2 linked regions of the Elephas maximus indicus genome follow. The protein of the gene in region 1 binds, or shares a complex with, the protein of each later gene. Links are inferred from orthologs where the notes say so. Each region holds a gene or a part of one and is shown in the gene's direction. Other genes may lie near its edges.

Region 1 (9,884 bases):
TAAATCCGCTAAAAAAAAATGCCGTCAGATCCCTATCAGAACTGCCTTTGCATTATAATAGCCACCTTGTTGCCTGTAGGGATGAAAACCCGAGATATGGATCTTATATGCTTGGCTGGAGCTGGTTCTGTGTTTTTAGTCCAATTAGGGAAGGATTTTTGGTCCCTGGGTTTTTTGTGGTTGCTTCTCTCAGGCCGGAAGAATGGGTTAGGAAAGACCAAAAAAAAAAAAAAAAAAAAGGAAATAGCAAAGCCGCAGAGCCGGAGCCGTTCTCCCTCTGGCTCAGGAAGTTCCAATGTTAATGAAGCCATCTGGGAAGGGGAGGGGAGGGTCAGAAAAACAGGAGAGAGTAGCACCCCGGAATATAGCCAAAGTTGCTTATCTTGCTTGGGATGACTATTTTATGTGAGATTCCCAAGGGGCGTGTCACCTATGTGTGCTGGCTGTGTGGAGATTGCCCCCGAGGGTCTGGCCTGCTGAAGCCGCGGTCAGATCCTCTACTGCCAGTCCAAAGCCCAGCGTCAAGGTTCCCCTGCTGGGACACTGCACTCCCGGCTCCAAAATCAGTCGCTGGCTCCCGGGGACTTCTCGTCCCGCCAGCCGTGTCGCTGCGCCGCCCCGGCGGACCGGCTGGGCCCCCTCCCGGGGTTAGTTCAGGGGAGTAGGGCTGCACCCCATGTTTGTGCCTTGACCAGATGCTGTGCGCAGCTCCCCTGGTCCCTGTCCAACGTCCGGCGCCAAGGTTCCCTGGCTGGGATGCTGCACTCCCGGCTCCAAAACCAGTCACTGCCTCCCAGGGACTTCTCCTCCCACCAGCCACGTCCCCAAGCCGCACACGTGGACTGGCTGGGCCCCTTCCTGGGGTCAGTTCAGGGGGCTAGGGCTGCGCCCCATGTTTGCGCCGTCATAAGATGTTGTGTTCAGCTCCCCTGCGCCCAGTCCTAAGCCTGGCGCCAAGGTTACCTGACTGGGACGCTGGCTCCAGGCTCCGAAAACGGTCTCTGCTTCCCCGTAGTTGTTCGTTCTCCGTCTCTGTCACTCAGGTCAACTCTTTAAATCTGTGTTTGTTGTTCAGGGTTCATATATTGTCATGTATGTGATCGATTCACTTGTTTTTCAGAGTCTTTGTTGCAAGAGGGATCCGAGATAGCGTCTACCTAGGCAGCCGTCTTGGCCCCCCCACCTAGGTTTGAGCTTTTAAAAGTCACTCCTGAGGTTCACCCTTCAGCCAAAGATTAGACAGGCCCATAAAACAAACAGTAATACCTGTAGTTCCACCTTGTATACAAGACTAAATGGGCACACCTGCCCAGGGGCAAGGATGAAAAGGCAGGAGGGGACAGGAGAGCTAGACAAATGGAAAATCGAGTCATTCTCTTTTGAGACATAAAAGAGAATCAGACAAAGAGGAGAGGGACCTCATTTCATCAAGGAAAAAAAAAAAAGCCAGGAGAAGACCACGTTCTTTGGACCTGGGGTCCCTGGGCTGAGAAACTCCTAGATCCAAGGGAGGATTGATGGCAAAAGACCTTCCTTCAGAGCCAATTGAGAGAGAAAGTTAAGTTAAGGCTGGCAGTCCAAAGCCACCAGCTGTTCCTTTGGAAAACCTATGGTGCAGTTCTACTCTGTCCTATGGGGTCGCTGTGACTCTGAATTGACTCCACAGCAACAGGCTTGGTTTTGTTGGTTTTATACATTTAGCCCATTGCCATCCATTCGATACTGACTCATAGTGACCCTACAGGACAGAATAGAACTGCCCCATAGGGTTTCCAAGGAGTGGCTGGTAGATTCGAACTACAGGCGTTTTGCTAGCAGACAAGCTCTTAAGCACTGCACCAGCAGGTCTCCTTTATATGTATACATATATAAACATAAAAAAAAATACATATAGGAAAATACATATATATGCATTCATATATGTACACACACATATATACGTGTATATACACACCCCCCAAAAAACCCAAACCCACTGCTGTTGAGTTGATTCTGACTCATAGCAATCTTATAGGACAGAGTAGAACTGCCCCACGAGGTTTCCAAGGAGCACCTAGTGGATTCGAAACGCTGACGTTTTGGTTAGCAGCCATAGTGATTAAGACCTATGCCACCAGGGTTTTCTATACACACATATATGTGTATACATATGGATTCATTGTTAAATGTATATGTGTGCATACACACACACACACACGCACACACACACACACAAAATCTATGTTGTTGTTAGGTGCTGTTGAGTTGGTTCCAACTCATAGCAGCCCTATGTACAACAAAACAAAATACTGCCTGGTCCTGCACCATCCTCACAATTGTTGCTGTGCTTGAGCCCATCATTGCAGCCACTGTGTCAATCCATCTTCTTCAGGGTTTTTCACTTTTTCACTGACCTTGTACTTTACCAAGCATGATGTCCTTCTCCAGGGACCGGTTCTTCCCAGTAACATGTCCAAAGTACATGAGACGAAGTCTCACCATCACTTCTAAGGGAGCATCCTGGCTAAGCTTTTTCCAAGACAGATTTGTTCATTGTTCTGGCAGTCCTTGGTATATTTAGTATTCTTTGCCAACACCATAATTCAAAGGGATTAATTCTTTAGTCTTCCTTATTCATCATCCAACTTTCACATGCATATAAGGCAATTGAAAACACAATGGCTTGGGTGAGGTGCACCTTAGTCCTAAAAGTGATATCTTTGCTTTTTAACACTTTTAAAGAGGTCTTTTGCAGTAAAAAAAAAAAAAAAAAATTTATTACTATTATTATTTTTTGCAGTAGATTTGGCCATATGTCCTTTCATTTCTTGATGGCTATTTCCATGGATGTTGGCTGTGGATCCAAGTATAATGAAATCCTTGACGAATTCAGTCTTTTCCCATGTATCATGATGTTGCTTATTGCTCCAGTTGTGAGCATTTTTATTTTCTTCATGTTGAGGTGTAATCCATACTGAAAGCTGTAGTCTTTGATCTTCATCAGTCAGTGCTTCAAGTCCTCTTCACTTTCAGCAAGTAAGGTTGTGTCATCTGCATAATGCAGGTTTCTAGTCTTCCTCCAATCTAAAATATTCAGCTCACTGGTAATGAAAGAAACAGAAACTAAGAGAATTTGATAATATTTTTCACCCATCAAATTGCCAGAAATTCATAATTCTCATGGATGATGTGGGAGGGGAAGTGAGCCTATTCAGACCAGGCTAGTGGGGGTATAAATTTGTTCAATTCTTTTAAGGCTATTTGAAGATATGCATAATAATTATAAAAAGTGTATATCCTTAGACTAGTAATTGTATTTCTAGAGAAGAATATTGTAAAGAAATAAAGAAGAAATTATGTATGAATAAGGGTATTAATTATAAAACTCTTTGTGGTAATTAATAATTGGAAAAAATCCAAATGCCCTCAAATAAATTAATAATTATTTAAATCAATTATATCCAGTTTTATCATGCAATGTTATGCAATCATTAAAAATAATAATACAGATTTGAACTAATTAATATGTAAAGCTGGTCATGATAGGTTATATTTAGAAATGTTACAAGGCAGCATACATGGTGTGATCCATTTATGTATGGAAAAAAATAAACATGTGAATGTCTGCACTAAAAAATTAAAGATAACGTGCTAAAACATTGATGGTGATTATCATTCCTTAGAAGTTGCTGGGTGGCCCAGCCAGTTTGCAATCACCTACTGCCCTGAAGGTTGGGGGTTGGAACCCATGCAACAGGGTCATGGAAGAAAGTCTTGTGCATTTGCTTCCCTAGAGACTATAGCCAAGAATACGCCGTGAACAGTTCTACTCATGGGGTTGCCATGCTTCAGAATTGACTCCACGGCAATGTGTTTTTTTTTTTTTTCCTTTCTCCTTCTTAGTCGCTCCTTGGTAGGGTTATAAGGAGCCTTGTTGGTGCAGTGCTTAAGCATTAGGCTGCTAAGTGAAAGGTAGGCAATTAGAACCCACCAGCTGCTCTTAGGGTGAAAGATGTGGCAGTCAGCTTCCCTAAAGATTTCAGCTTCGGAAACCCCACGGGGCAATTATACTCTGTCCTTTAGGGTCCTTATGGGTTTGGTTTGGTAATATAATGGGTGATTTTTACTTTCTTCCTTAACCTTTTTTCCCCTTCAATCTCCATTTCCTACAAGTAACATAGGTTACTTAATAATCGAACACAAGTAAAGCTTTTTCCAGTTTTAGGAAAACAAATTTTGTTAACTAACTTAAAATATGTTTTTAAAAAGCAATTTCTTCTTGTAGATTTAGCTCCTGGAGGTTCAGATGACTGGATTTATGACTTGGGCACCAAATACTCGTTTACAATTGAACTTCGAGATAAAGGCGAATTTGGATTCTTGCTGCCTGAACGTCTCATCAAGCCAACTTGTAAAGAGGCTCTCGCGGCTGTCTCTAAAATAGTCTGGCATGTCATCAGGAATGTTTAATGCCCTTGATTTTATCACTCTGCTCCCATATTTTAATTTATTGATTCCAGCAAGACCAAATAATTGTCCCAGCTTCTTTTTAAGTTTTATCAACAGTTTTGTAACGAGATTTTCCCATTTCTTGGCTTTGTCAAAGAATAAAATAAATGCCACCTTGCAAATAAGACAAGAGTTCACATTTCTTTTCACTTTTTTTTTTTTTTTTTAAATTGTAAGGGGCTAGGTGTTGTTGTTGTTGTTAGGTGCCATTGAGTCGCTTCCAACTCACAGCTATCCTGTGCACAACAGAACGAAGCACTGCCCTGTCCTAAGCCATCCTTACAATCATTGTTATGCTTGAGCTCATTGTTGCAGCCACTGTGTCAATCAACCTTGTTGAGGGTCTTCCTCTTTTCCTCTGACCCTGTACTTTGCCAAGCATGATGGCCTTCTACAGGGACTGATCCCTCCTGACAACACGTCCAAAGTGTGTAAGACGCAGTCTCGCTATCTTTGCCTCTAAGGAGCATTCTGGCTGCACTTCTTCCAAGACAGATTTGGTATATTCAATATTCTTCGCCCACACCACAATTCAAAGGTACTGATTTTAATTTTTTTTTTTTTACTTTGATTCAGGATGTTTCACTAACCAAACAATTTTAATAAATTGTATCATACAAATCATTGGTTAAAGCTTTGAGACCCTAAGCAACAAAAGGAAAGACCGTCGGGAGTATATGAAAGATTTTTGTTTCACATTTTCAGTAAACTTGTTTGCGCCTTTAAAAACATAACCCTGCATTCCGTTTGCTCCACAATAATAGGCGATGGGCTACAAAGGAGACGGGTTCAAAAATAGGACATTCGCCAGGTCTGGTCCAGCTCAGAGTCTCAATAAGCATTCTTGAACAAATGAATGGCTGTAGTTACTTTCAATACACGTAGCATTTTGCACACCTAAAATAGTTGTTTATTGTAAGAAATTATGTAATGAACGGGGAAATTCTCTTAAGTTCACTTTTAATTGGGAATCAAAAAAGTCCCCCGCGAGTCCAAGTTTCCTTCCACAAAGAACATATTCAGGAGTTGATCTCTCGCTAATACTCTCGCTCCTCAGCGTCGACGCAACGTACGAGGAAAGGGGCGGGGTCTGCGCTCTGACGACTAACCTGGCGGCCGGAAGCTGGCTCGTTTACAGAGGAACAGGACGGTCTCCTGACTTCCGGCGGCTTTTTGAGTCGATCGCCCTAGCGGCCTGGTAGTTTTTTTTTGGAGTTTTTTTTACTGTCCATTTTCTCTTCCTTCTTTTTCTTCCCACGCCCCGTTCTCGCCGGACCCTGGCGAAGCGGCAGGCGGGTTCTGTTTCTCAGTCTCCCCGGGGCCCCGTGAGCCTCCGAGGAGCGGTTTCCGGGAGCCGCGCGCGCACCTCCTCCTTGTGGTCCTCCCGGGGCCAAGGCGCGGGGCGGAAGGTCTCCTTCCCCGCTCCTGCGAGCAGCGGCAGTGTGGGTGCCTCGGGTCTGCGTTTGCGAGGAGAGCTGGGGGTGGAGGTAAGGGTTCTGTGACTTCGTGTGGGTATTTGAGGAAAGGCGTTGGGCGAGCTGGGGAGGCCCGGAGTCGCCCACCATGCCCACTTGGGTCACACTGGTATTTCGTGCTCCCCTTGAGCATCCTGCCCCTGAATCTTCAGTCACTCCCTGTGCTCAGGCCTCGTTTGTCTCCCTCGCTCTGATTGTGGCGAGTCTGTCTAGGGGACAGGTCGACTCAGGCAAAAGACTGTGACTGACATTTGAGGTGGGCACGGGAACCCTTGAGCAGAATTCGCGTTTGTATGCAATGGAGGGGTGCCGGAATAAGGTCTTAGATTTCGGAGTTTTTTCTTTGGGCATTCCAGACCTGTAATCGGTAAAGGGATCTTTTGGTTATTTTTGGTGTTCTGTATTTACTGGCAGTGATAAACCGAGTTAGGGCCTGGGAGTTGAGGAGTGCTAGTCTTGGCAGTTATATGCGGGGGAAACAAATTGAAAGAGAGGTAGAATGAAAGGACGGGACCTTATGTTTAGCATTACCTCTTTCTAAATACAAACGCAAACAAACCTGTTACCTTTGAGTCGATTCCGACTCATAGGGACCCTGTATGACAGAGTAGAACTCCCCCATAGGGTTTCCAGGGAGGGGCTGGTGGATTGGAACTGCCGACCTTTCGCTTAGCAGCCGAACGCTTAACCACTGCGCCACCAGTGCCCCGCTCTTTTTAAATAGGTTAATATAATTTAAATGGCTGACAAATTCGGAGTTGCTATTACTTGAATGATGTTGGTAGGATTTTGCGTGTGGAAGGTAGTGTGTTAATCTATTCGGTTATATTAGAAGGTTTCCAGGTAATTTGAACTACTTTGAAAATTATGGGCTAGAGTCTCTTAAGGTTTTTGCATTTGTAAAGAGGGAATTTAGAAAGTTTGGAAGAGGTCTTCACGCCTCGCGTTTTCAGAGTTCGTGATACTGTTGCGGCAAATCCCGATGCTTATGCAGCGCCATCCCTGTGTGCATGGTGCCAGTTAGCATGGTCCAGTTTCTGGGTGTTTTTAGTTCTGTAATACTTGATGTCATGGGCTTTACTGTCCAAACAATAATGTTTTGGAGAGCTATTGATTTTGAAGTTATTAATGAAATACTTAGATTATAATAGATGACAGTTTCAGAGAGATAGTAAGAAGATTGATGGAGGTATATGTCAGTTTGTGTGTGTAAAAATAGTTGCATCATGAAACTAAAAATTTCACTGTGTCCGTCTGGTAGGATACAGTTTTATGAAGTCTATGCCTCTGACAGGGTCGCTGTGAGTCCGAATCGACTCCATGACAAGTGGTTTGGTTTTACTGAAGTCCTAGTTATTGGTAATTCTAATTGCACATTGTACATTTTAGGATGTGTGCACATCTTATTTTCATATCTGTAGTACAGATTAAAAATATTAAGAGACAGCAAGTGGATGCTATGTTAACTTTTTTATACCAAATTATTAAAATTTTAATGAATCATCTGTATTAGTTTATATTATAATATGCATTGGTGTTTACATAGGGAAAGCAAAATTGTTTAACTTCCATTTGGAGAATTGGTTTTCAGTGGACGTTAGTCTTTCCCGTATTCCCCACTCGCAACCCACAGCTCATACAGAGTTGGAGGCATTTTAGCAGGTACTTTGTAGTGGCTGAGGTATTAACTGGTGTTCATGTAACCCTGTCTTCTCTTCTCCTCTTGTAGCTCTGTGTGTTGCGGTTCTGTTTACGTCACTTCATAGTGGTTCCCAGGATGGGGTGTTCTTTGTGCACACACAATCTTTTTAACAAGTTATTTTCTGCACAGTGCTGCAGTATTGCCTTGCTCATACCTGTGTAGTCAGCTTAGTTGTGCCAGTTCTGTTGCACGATCAGTTAAGAATAGATTTACTCTGTCTACAGGTAAGCAACCTGGAAGGGTGTTTGAGAAAGTTCTTTTTAATAAATTCTTCAAAAGTATGCATCAAATAAACAGCTATTTTTTCTTTTAAAACATGAAGTATGAATGTGGGGAAAGTTTTATTTTTTAATATAACCCTTTAAATCTTAGAAATTCAATGGGTAGGGATTTATTCTACTAATTAATACATTTATATAGTTTTAGTTATGTAATTATTTGACAGTTTCCTGGTATTACGCTGCTGCTGTATAAGTAATAGAAGATCATCCAGATTAAAAAGAGTTATGCTTTCATTTACACTACAGAAGATGAGACCTCAGAAGGATCCAGTGAAGATACTAGAACTGATACATATTTTACTGACAAGATTTTAGCCATTAGGCTTCAGGTTTAATTAATTATTCAGAGAAGAGGACCCTGTATTTTTCAACTTTTTCAGCCATATTTATAGTGTGCAGCTTTGAATAGATTGTGATAATGTAATTTCCCATTTATTAAGACTCCCTTTTCCTGTGCCTTCAGGAGATTCAAGCTTTATTTCCAGTTATTCTTTTTCTTTTTAAATTTAAAAGTGATAAGGAAAATTTCAGATATTTATATATCTGCAAGGAAAAATAGAAAAATGACTAAATGGACTTTCACCAGTCTTATTCTGGCTCTTACAGTGCTGCTGTTTGGGAAAGAAATGATGATGTGATAGTGTAAGGGTAACTTAAACAAAAGAACAACGGGCAGAGCAATTTATTTGAAAACAAAAATGGAGAACAACATTAAAGAAGAGTTAACTAAATTAGTAAATTTTTGTTGTAACCTTAATTTATAATCTGTGTGATAGGGAAGACTTCAGCATTAATTTTTTTTACTTTGTTGTATTGTTTTTAACTTTTCCCATATACTTTGAAATATTTACTTATCAAAGGCTGTTCAGATATTAACTAAAAATTTTTTTTCCTCAGTCCCATTTACTTTTTATTCTTTTGTGATAGTTATCTTCCTTTGTGAACCTAAATTTTTTTTCATAACTTTTATTGCGCTTTAAGTGAAAGTTTACAAACCAAGTCAGTCTCTCACACAAAAACTTATATACACCTTGCTACATACTCCCAATTACTCTCCACTCTCCCCCTAATGGGACATCCCGCTCTCTCCATCCACTCTTTCTTTTCGTGTCCGTTTTGCCAGCTTCTAACCCCCTCTACCCTTTTATCTCCCCTCCAGGCAGGAGTTGCTAACACAGTCTCAAGCATCCACCTGATCCAAGAAGCTCACTCCTCATTAGCATCCCTCTCCAACCCACTGTCCAGTCCAATCCATGTCGGAAGAGTTGGCTTTGGGAATGGTTCCTGTCCTGGGCCAACAGAAGGTCTGGGGGCCATGACCACTGGGGTCCTTCTTGTCGTAGTCAGACCATTAGCCTGGTCTTTTTATGTGAGTTTGGGGTCTGGATCCCACTGCTCTCCTGTTCCCTTAGGGGTTCTCTGTTGTGTACCCTGTCAGGGCGGTCATCCATTGTAGCCGGGCACTATCTAGCTCTTCTGGTCTCAGGAAGATGTAGTCTCTGGTTCATGTGGCCCTTTCTGTCTCTTGGGCTCGTAATTGCCTTGTGTCCTTGTTGTTCTTCATTCTCCTTTGATCCAGGTGAGTTGAGACCCATTGATGCATCTTAGATGGCTGCTTGCTAGTGTTTAAGATCCCAGACGCCACTCCTCAAAGTGGGATGCAGAATGTTTTCTTAATAGATTTTATTATGCCAATTGACTTAGTTGTCCTCTGAACCCATGGTCCCCAAACCCCTGCCCCTGCTACACTGGCCTTCGAAGCATTCAGTTTATTCTGGAAACTTCTTTGCTTTTGGTTTAGTCCAGTTGTGCTGACCTCTCCTGTATTGTGTGTTGTCTTTCCCTTCACCTGAAGTAGTTCTTATCTATTATCTAATTAGTGAATACTCCTCTCCCACCCTCCCTTCCTCCCTCCCCCCTCTCATAACCACAAAAAAA
Region 2 (10,038 bases), on another chromosome or scaffold:
TTCTAAACCCAACATACGTTTTAACCCATTTAATCCTCCAAATGAGAATATTCGATGGTTATTCCCAATTTATGGATGAGAAAACCAAGGCATAGAGAGGTTAATAGCAAGCCTTTTCAAAGCCCACCAGCAGAGCTGGGATTTTAGCCCAGGCTGGCTGTTGCCAGAGGAACCAGCTCTATAAAAAAAAATATGGTGTCTAAATAAAGAGATGGTTACATTAGGGCTTCATCATACAGGAGAAGTTATACCAGAGGGCTTTCTCTAACAACGTGAAAGGACAAACCACACACACAGCTCAGCAAGTATACTAAAAAACATTGTACTATACATTTTGAGTGAACTTTAAGATACTTTTATATCTGAATAAAGCAGTCAAAAAATACACAAACAGTAGCCCCCAAGAAGGTAAAATACTTAGGAATCTTACCAGAAATGTAAAAGACTTATACAAAAAAAACTACAGTACACTTCTGCAAGAAACCAAAAGAGACTTACGTAAGTGGAAAAACGTACCTTGCTCATGGATAGGGAGACTTAACATTATAAAAATGTCTATTCTACCAAAAGCGATCTATACATTTAATGCAATTCCAATACAAATCCCAACAACATTCTTTAATGAGATGGAGAAACAAATCACCAACTTCATATGGAAGCGAAAGGGGCCCCAATAAATAAGGCATTACTGAAAAAGAAGAACAAAGTGGGAGGCCTTACTTTACCTGATTTTAGAACTTATCATACCGCCACAGTAGTCAAAACAGCCTGGTACTGGTACAACAACAGATACATAGACCAATGGAACAGAATTGAGAATCCAGACATAAATCCATCCACATATGTGCAGCTGATATTTGACAAAGGCCCCAAAACAGTTAAATGGGGAAAAAACAGTCTTTTTAACAAATAGCGCTGGCATAACTGGATATCCATCTGCAAAAAAATGAAACAAGACCCATACCTCACTTCATGCACAGAAATGAGCTCAAACTGGATCCAAGACCTAAATATAAAATCTAAAACGATAAAGATCATGGAAGAAAAAATAGGGACAATGTTAGGAGCCCTAATACATGGCATAAACAGTATACAAGACATTACTAAGAATGCAGAAGAAAAACTAGATAACTGGGAGCTCCTAAAAATCAAACAGCTATGCTCATCCAAAGACTTCACCAAAAGAGTAAAAAGACTACCTACAGACTGGCAAAAAGTTTTTAGCTATGGCATTCCTGATCAGCACCTGATCTCTAAAATCTACATGATACTGCAAAAACTCCACTACAAAAAGACAAATAACCCAACTAAAAAATGGGCAAAAGATATGAATAGACACTTCACTAAAGAAGACATTCAGGTAGCTAACAGATACATGAGGAAATGTTTATGATCATTAGCCATTAGAGAAATGCAGATCAAAATTACAATGAGATTTCATCTCACCCCAACAAAAAGCTGGCATTAATCCAAAAAACACAAAATAATAAATGTTGGAGAGGGTATGGAGAGATTGGAACACTTATACAATGCTGGTGGGAATGTCAAATGGTACAACCACTTTGGAAATTGATTTGGCGCTTAACTACCATACGATCCAGCAATCCCAATCCATGGAATATACCCTAAATAAGAGCCTTTACATGACCAGATATATGCACACCCATATTTACTGCAGCACTGTTTACAATAGCAAAAAGATGGAAGCAACCAAGGTGCCCATCAACGGATGAATGGGTAAATAACTTATGGTATATTCACACAATGGACTACTACACATCGATAAAGAACAGTGGTGAATCTGTGAAACATTTCATAACGTGGAGGAACCTGGAAGGCATTATGCTAAGTGAAATTAGTCAGTTGCAAAAGGACAAATATTGTATAAGACCACTATTGTAAGTATTTGAGAAATAGTTCAAACTGAGAAGAAAACATTCTTTTGTGGTTACGAGAGGAGGGTGGGAGGGTGGGAGGGTGGGAGAGGGTATTCACTAATTAGTTGGTAGATAAGAACTACTTTAGGTGAAGTGAAAAACAATGCACAATACAGGGGGAGGTCAGCACAGCTGGACTAAACCAAAAGCAGTTTCCTGAATAAACTGAATGCTTCGAAGGCCAGTGTAGCAGGGGCAGGGGTTTGGGGACCATGATTTCAGGGGACATCTAAGTCAACTGGCATAGTAAAATCTATTAAGAAAACATTCTGCATCCCACTTTAGAGAGTGGCATCTGGGGTCTTATCTCTTAGCAAGCAGCCATCTAAGATGCATCAATTGGTCTCAACCCACCCGGATCAAAGGAGAATGAAGAACACCAAGCACACAAGGTAATTATGAGTCCAAGAGACAGAAAGGGCCACATGAACCAGAGACTACATCATCCTGAGACCAGAAGAGCTAGATGGTGCCTGGCTACAACCGATGACTGCTCTGACAGGAAACACAACAGAGAACCCTTGAGGGAGCAGGAGAGCAGTGGAATGCAGACCCCAAATTCTCATAATCCAGGCTTAATGGTCTAACTGAGACTGGAAGGACCCTGGTGCTCATGGCCCCCAGGCCTTCTGTTGGTCCAGGACAGGAACCATTCCCTAAGCCAACTCTTCAAACATGGATTGGACTGGACAATGGGTTGGAAAGGGATGCTGGTGAGGAGTGAGCTTCTTGAATCAGGTGGACACTTGAGACTATGTTGGCATCTCCTGCCTGGAGGGGAGATGAGAGGGTAGAGGGGGTCAGAAGTTGGCGAAATGGACATGAAAAGAAAGAGTGGAGGGAGAGAGCTGGCTGCCTTATTAGGGGGAGAGTAATTGGGAGTAAGTAGCAAGCCGTCTGTAAGTTTTTATGTGAGAGGCTGACTTAATTTGTAAACTTTCACTTCCCAGACCCAGTGCCATCGAGTGACCCTATAGGACAGAGTAGAACTTTCACTTAGAGCACAATAAAAATCATAAAAAAAAAAAAATACACAAAGAAGTGACTTGATAATGCAAACTGGGTTCTAAATGATTGTTTGCTGATTTAAGGATTTAATATATGCCTGTGGGTAAAAAAAATATACTTTCTTGTACACCAAATAAAATAAACCTCGCTGTCAGGAGACCACTCACTTTATGAAAGGAGATGAAACAGAAAAATTTAATCTACTATTGTGGGTGGAAAATTTTCTTTTTCAATTCCCAGATCCAGTCCTTTTTGTATTTGCCAGGAAATCAAAGGGCTCTCAGCTTCCAAGATAAATTTCATATAGCAATCATAATTGTGTGTGTATTGAAGATAAAAAATAAAAATAAAAAAAACTAGGAAGGAGGGGAATGGAAAGAAGGATAATTGATTGAAAGCATTCTGCTATTTTTTAACTGCACAGTAGTCTTCCATGTTTATGCCTTTTATTTTGCTTTTTCCTTTTAAAGCTGAAACTGATTTTAAAGGAGATGGAAAAAGTACTTCACATAGAAAGCTAATGGTAGCTGCTCTCCTGCCTGGCTGTGTTCTCTAGGCCTTGTACAGCTCCAAGGGGCCACCCTGACACCAAAATGGGCTGTGAGCTTTTCTTGAACATTATTTCTTGAGTTTTGGCAGGGCACTGAAAGGAGAGATCAACATGCTACTGTGGTGCTCTGGGAATTTTTTGGTAGTTTAACTCTGTCTTCATGACTACTGAAAGAACTTCCTCACCCAGGTTAGCTCTCCTCACAAACCTGGCCGCTGATCACAAGGAGACCAGATGAAAACTTGGACTGGACTTCAACAACTCCATCACCAACACCAGAAAAAGAGTTCCAAGCCTGGCGCTGAAACCATGGGTCGCTTTTATCCTTTCTCGGCCCTCCCTAAAGCACATGTATAAACACAGGTTGATAAAATGTCACCAAGCAGCTTCATGCTTTAAGGAACACAAGGGAAATGAAAACAAAGTAAATCACTCACTTTAACTACAGCACACATCCAACATATTCAGTTCTATCATGGACACGAACACACATCACAGACTATTTTGGCGCTGTTACTGGTAATGAAATTTAGACATTTTCTAACCATTAAATTTACCAGTCCTCTTGGCTTCAGGCAACGTATCAGTCCTCTTAGGCAAGGCTTCCTGCCCCTGCCAGCTCCTTCGTATTTCAAGCCACCAACTTGGCAGAGTGACAGGCATTGCCACATATCCTGGTACCTGTTCAGCAAGGCAGTATTCCTTGATTTCTCTCCCTCATTCCTGTAGAGGAAACTATACTGATTTGGTCCTTATCTTTTTCTTTGACCAGTGAGTCAACTAAGCAGGTCAGTTTTGACCAAAAGTAGTCACTCTGGAGCCTGGTTTCACTGGACTGGTTATTGCATTGAGTAATCAGATAATGGCTTGTTTCCTTTGTGTTGTATTAATACAACCTTGAAACAGATTAAAACCTCTTAACCATGTAAATCTTTTTCTTTGAGCATTTTGTGCTTTTATAAACACTGCTTTTTATTCTTTTAATCCACTAGCATTGAGATTTTTATCTCTAAATACCATTTTCCCCAAAAAGGAACCAGAACTCTTTGGAGAAATGGCTGATTCTATGTCTGGGGCAGGAAATACAGCGAGTAAGCCCGGAACAAAATAATGGGAGAGGAGGAAGCTGGGAAGAAGGCACAGAAGAAACAAGTGTGACGTGATTTGACAATTATTGAAATTGGGTGTTAAGTTCATGTGGTTCTTTATAGTATTCTACCTTTGCATATTTTTTACTTTTTCCATAAAAATAATTTTTTAAGGGAAAGCTAGAAAGAATTGCTATTTTTTAAACTGAAAGAGCATGAAAAATAATAGATAAGAGTCTACAATGAAAAGGGAAATTTCTCTCCCATCCCAGACCTGCAGTCAGTCTCTCTCCTCAGGGGAATCCTGGTAATATTCCGTGTATTTGTCAAGGAATTTTCTATGAATGAATGTGCAATGTGCGTGCGTTTTTAAACCATAAATGGTAGCATACTATACAGTTTTATACCTTATGAAATTTTTAGTAGCTAGTTTTAATATGAAGATATCTACACACTATTTTACTGGGTATTTTTATGCTTTACATATCCACTTAAACATGGGCTTCAAGTCTCTTTGATATAATCAAGACATTAAATCAAATATTTATAACACACATATAATATTAAAAATATAATCTTCACTTTCCTCAAGATTATTTGGAAAGAGGAGACCTAAGGTAGAGCAAAATATGCTGCAGTCCCTAATCTTAAATTTTCAGCTTCAGGTTTTGATTTTCGTAACATCATAGTTACCTTAAAAATGTCATGTTTAAACAGATTGATTGGATCTTGAGATGTGGCTGAAGAGGGCATCTACACTGGAATCCTCATAACCTCTGCCTGGCGGAGACCTGGGAGGACTACAGAAAGCCTAACCTCTGTGAACTCAGCACTACCTCGCTTCACCAGACGGTGAGCGCAGGAACAGAGGCTGTACCTGTTGTAATCTTGTTGGCACACCAGCATCTTGCACAGGTGCCTTATTGTCTGACACAATTTAAGTCCACTGCCATCGAGTGGATGCTGACTCATAGTGACCCTATAGAACAGAGAGTTCCCAAAGCTGTAAGCTTTACAGAAGCAGATAGCCCTATCTTTCTCCCAGGAGCGGAGGCTGGGTTCCAACCGCCGACCTTTCGGTTATCAGCCCAGCGCTTAACCATCGTGCTGCGAGGGCTCCTCTGACACAATAAAGGTCTATGGAAAGGATAAAAGTTGACTTTTGATGCAGACAATGTTTGAGAGAGGCAGAGAGATTTAGAGAACCAGCAAGGTGGCTGTGCTACTGGATTATAATATCGAATAACCAGGAGTGCCGGGCGGTACGAGAAGTCACAGAAAAAAAAACACGGTGCGTCAATTTCACTCGATTATTTTACGGGGAGAGTCACATAAAAACAAACATAATCTGCACGGAGCGTCAATTTCACTCGATGGTTTTACGGGGAGAGTCATAAAAACAAGATTAGCTATACACGCACTATAGAGTACAAAATCCACATGGGTTTGCAATATAAAACAGGAAGCCTAAAGACACGTCTGCGGTGGCCCCACAGTTCCGGCCACGCCTGCGGACCGTGGGCCTGGGAGCGTCGGTCACTTCCCCCGGTTACCCGGGGTACTTGGGCAGACACGAGGAGCGCCAAGAAGAGCCCGGCGTTGCTCCATAAGTGCGGGACCTCGAGAACCCGCGCCGATCAGAAGACCGTCCGGGGCCGACCCGGCACTTTTGTGAACTGTAAACTCCCGGGCCGGGCGGGCCCCGGGGACCCCAGTGACCGCGGGCGGCGCCTTCTCGCGCACAGGGGGGAGGAGCCTTTTCAGGCTCTTCACGTAGGGCCAGAGGGACTTAAGATGGTGCCTGCCGGGCGCCTCGAGATGGTTTCCTGAGGCACGCGTGGTACCCGACAGCCGGAGGGCCTGCCCAGTCCCTCGTCTGGCACAGGTAGGACAGTGGGGAGCCCAGAAGTTTCGAGTTCCAAGGGCCGCAGTGCCGCCAAGTACGCCTCGGCACCGAACAGATGTTTGAGGGGAGAACGCCGAAAGCACGAGGAGGCGGGGCGGGCTCGTGGTCACCATCTCGCGATATCTAAGTGACGTCTCCCAGCAAGCGCGGGTTCTAGGCTTTCACCTTCAGTCAGCCGCCTCAGTATATGGGCCTACCCCTTTAAGAGGGTGACGGACAGTTATTTCAGCCTATCAACTTCCTCGACAACATCCAATCAGATTTAAACTTCTGTCAGCCGCCGAAGGAGTTGGAAGAAGAGGGTCGAAACAGGGAGCTCTCTCGCGAGATCGTTGTGAGCCTACCTCTCAGAGGAAAAATCGCCCGAACCGATGGCCGTATTCCCAACTAGTGGGTTAAAGGACAGGATCATAAACCAATGAAAGGGATGAGGAGGTGGGATCGCTGCTTTCGCCGCTCAAGAAGTACCGTTACAAGGCAGACTTTTTGTCCAATCAACGCCGCCAGACTTTGGGTCAGGTGACCGTAGGGTGCGAGGGGCGGAGCTACAGCCTGGCGCGAGGAACCGTTAAGATAGACAAGGAATACAACCAATGAGGTACTCTGACTAGGGCGTTGGGAGCCCAATAACAGTGGTTGGGCGGGCGCCTTCCCGGAGCGCCGGGAGATGTAAAGACAGACAAATAGTCTTTCCAATGAGACTGTAGAAGAGAGGATCTAATTGACCAATGAAGACTGCGGGGCGGGAGCCTTTGCCGCGGCGGAGTCCAAGATGGCGGCGTGCGGTTCCGCTGTGTGAAACGAGCGCGGGGCGGCGGGTTAATCAGCTCCGCGGAGAAGACCTCCGACGACCCGCAACAATGAAGGGAAAAGAGCGCTCGCCAGTCAAGGCCAAACGCTCCCGTGGTGGTGAGGACTCGACTTCCCGTGGGGAGCGCGGCAAGAAGTTAGGTGGCTCTGGTGGTAGCAATGGGAGCAGCAGCGGAAAGACCGAGAGCGGCGGTGGGTCGCGGCGGAGCCTTCACCTGGACAAGTCCAGCAGTCGAGGTGGCAGCCGCGAGTATGACACTGGTGGGGGCACCTCCAGTAGCCGCCTGCATAGTTATAGCTCCCCAAGCACCAAAAATTCCTCGGGCGGGGGCGAGTCGCGAAGCAGCTCCCGGGGTGGAGGCGGGGAGTCACGTTCCTCAGGGGCCGCCTCCTCAGCTCCTGGCGGCGGAGACGGCGGGGAATACAAGACACTAAAGATAAGCGAGTTGGGGTCCCAGCTGAGTGACGAAGCGGTGGAGGACGGACTGTTTCACGAATTCAAACGCTTCGGTGATGTGAGTGTCAAAATCAGTCACCTCTCGGGTTCTGGCAGCGGGGATGAGCGGGTAGCCTTTGTGAACTTCCGGCGGCCGGAGGACGCGCGGGCGGCCAAGCATGCCAGAGGCCGCCTTGTGCTCTATGACCGGCCTCTGAAGATAGAGGCTGTGTATGTGAGCCGGCGCCGCAGCCGCTCCCCTTTAGACAAAGATTCTTATCCTCCATCGGCCAGCGTGGTCGGGTCCTCTGTAGGTGGTCACCGGCACCCCCCTGGAGGAGGTGGAGGCCAAAGGTCACTTTCTCCTGGTGGCGCTGCCTTGGGATACAGAGACTACCGGTTGCAGCAGTTGGCTCTTGGCCGTCTGCCCCCTCCACCTCCGCCACCGTTGCCCCGAGAGTTGGAGAGAGACCGAGATTATCCGTTCTATGAGCGAGTGCGCCCAGCATATAGTCTTGAGCCAAGGGTGGGAGCTGGAACCGGGGCTGCCCCTTTCAGAGAAGTGGATGAGATTTCACCTGAGGATGATCAGCGAGCTAACCGGACGCTTTTCTTGGGCAACCTAGACATCACTGTGACAGAGAGTGACTTAAGAAGGGCTTTTGATCGCTTTGGAGTCATCACAGAAGTAGACATCAAACGCCCTTCTCGTGGTCAAACCAGTACCTATGGTTTTCTCAAATTTGAGAATCTGGACATGTCTCACAGAGCCAAACTAGCAATGTCTGGCAAAATTATAATTCGGAATCCTATCAAAATTGGTTATGGTAAAGCTACACCCACTACCCGCCTCTGGGTAGGTGGCCTGGGACCTTGGGTGCCTCTTGCTGCCCTGGCACGAGAGTTTGACCGATTTGGCACCATACGCACCATAGACTACCGCAAAGGGGACAGCTGGGCATATATCCAGTATGAAAGCCTAGATGCAGCTCATGCTGCTTGGACTCATATGCGGGGCTTCCCCCTTGGTGGCCCAGATCGTCGCCTTAGAGTAGACTTTGCAGACACAGAGCATCGTTACCAGCAGCAGTATCTGCAGCCCCTGCCTCTGACTCATTATGAATTGGTGACAGATGCTTTTGGACATCGGGCGCCTGACCCTTTGAGGGGTGCTCGGGATAGGACACCACCCTTACTATACAGAGATCGTGATAGGGACCTTTATCCAGACCCTGATTGGGTCCCACCTCCACCCCCAGTCCGAGAACGCAGCACACGGACTGCAGCTGCTGCTGTACCTGCTTATGAGCCACTGGATAGCCTGGATCGGAGGCGGGATGGCTGGTCCTTGGATCGAGACAGAGGTGAGAGAGATCTTCCCAGCAGCAGAGAGCAGCCTAGGAAGCGAAGGCTGCCTGAAGAGAGTGGGGGACGCCATCTGGATAGGTCCCCTGAGAGTGACCGTCCACGAAAACGTCACTGCGCTCCTTCTCCTGACCGAAGTCCAGAGTTGAGCAGTAGCCGGGATCGCTACAACAGTGACAATGATCGATCTTCCCGCCTTCTCTTGGAAAAGCCCTCTCCAATCAGAGACAGACGAGGTAGTTTGGAGAAGAACCAAGGTGACAAGCGAGACCGTAAAAACTCTGCATCAGCGGAACGAGATAGAAAGCACCGGACAGCTGTTCCCACTGAGGGAAAAAGCCCTCTGAAAAAAGAAGACCGTTCTGATGGGAGTGTGCCTAGCACCAGCACTACTTCATTGAAGCTGAAGTCCCCTTCCCAGAAACAGGATGGCGGTACAGCCCCTGCAGCAGCAGCCTCTCCCAAACTCTGCTTGGCCTGGCAGGGCATGCTTCTACTGAAGAACAGCAACTTTCCTTCCAACATGCATCTGTTGCAGGGTGACCTCCAAGTGGCTAGTAGTCTTCTGGTGGAGGGCACAACTGGAGGCAAAGTGGCCCAGCTGAAGATCACTCAGCGTCTCCGTTTGGACCAGCCCAAGTTGGATGAAGTAACTCGACGCATCAAAGTGGCAGGGCCCAATGGTTATGCCATTCTTCTGGCTGTGCCTGGAAGTTCTGACAGCCGGTCCTCCTCAGCCACATCGGACACTGCCACCTCTACTCAGAGGCCGCTTAGGAACCTTGTGTCCTATTTAAAGCAAAAGCAGGCTGCTGGGGTGATCAGCCTCCCTGTGGGGGGCAATAAAGACAAGGAGAACACCGGGGTTCTTCATGCCTTCCCACCCTGTGAGTTCTCCCAGCAGTTCCTGGATTCCCCTGCCAAGGCACTGGCCAAAT

The links.
Region 2: ZC3H13 (region 1) and RBM15 share a complex: the UniProt entries of both Homo sapiens proteins name them as parts of the WMM complex. The link is inferred for Elephas maximus indicus from reciprocal best matches to the Homo sapiens genes ZC3H13 and RBM15.

What each region holds. Positions count from the first base shown.
Region 1 is NC_064832.1:33,684,770-33,694,653, forward strand, and holds the start of ZC3H13 (zinc finger CCCH domain-containing protein 13), read left to right. Parts: upstream 1-5,610; 5' UTR 5,611-5,686; exon of another isoform or gene 5,687-5,975; intron 5,976-9,884. Other genes in the region: carboxypeptidase B2-like, read left to right, coding at 4,265-4,449. UniProt on the Homo sapiens protein: Associated component of the WMM complex, a complex that mediates N6-methyladenosine (m6A) methylation of RNAs, a modification that plays a role in the efficiency of mRNA splicing and RNA processing.
Region 2 is NC_064821.1:170,958,711-170,968,748, reverse strand, and holds the start of RBM15 (RNA-binding protein 15), read left to right. Parts: upstream 1-6,198; 5' UTR 6,199-7,217; coding exon 7,218-10,038. UniProt on the Homo sapiens protein: RNA-binding protein that acts as a key regulator of N6-methyladenosine (m6A) methylation of RNAs, thereby regulating different processes, such as hematopoietic cell homeostasis, alternative splicing of mRNAs and X chromosome inactivation mediated by Xist RNA.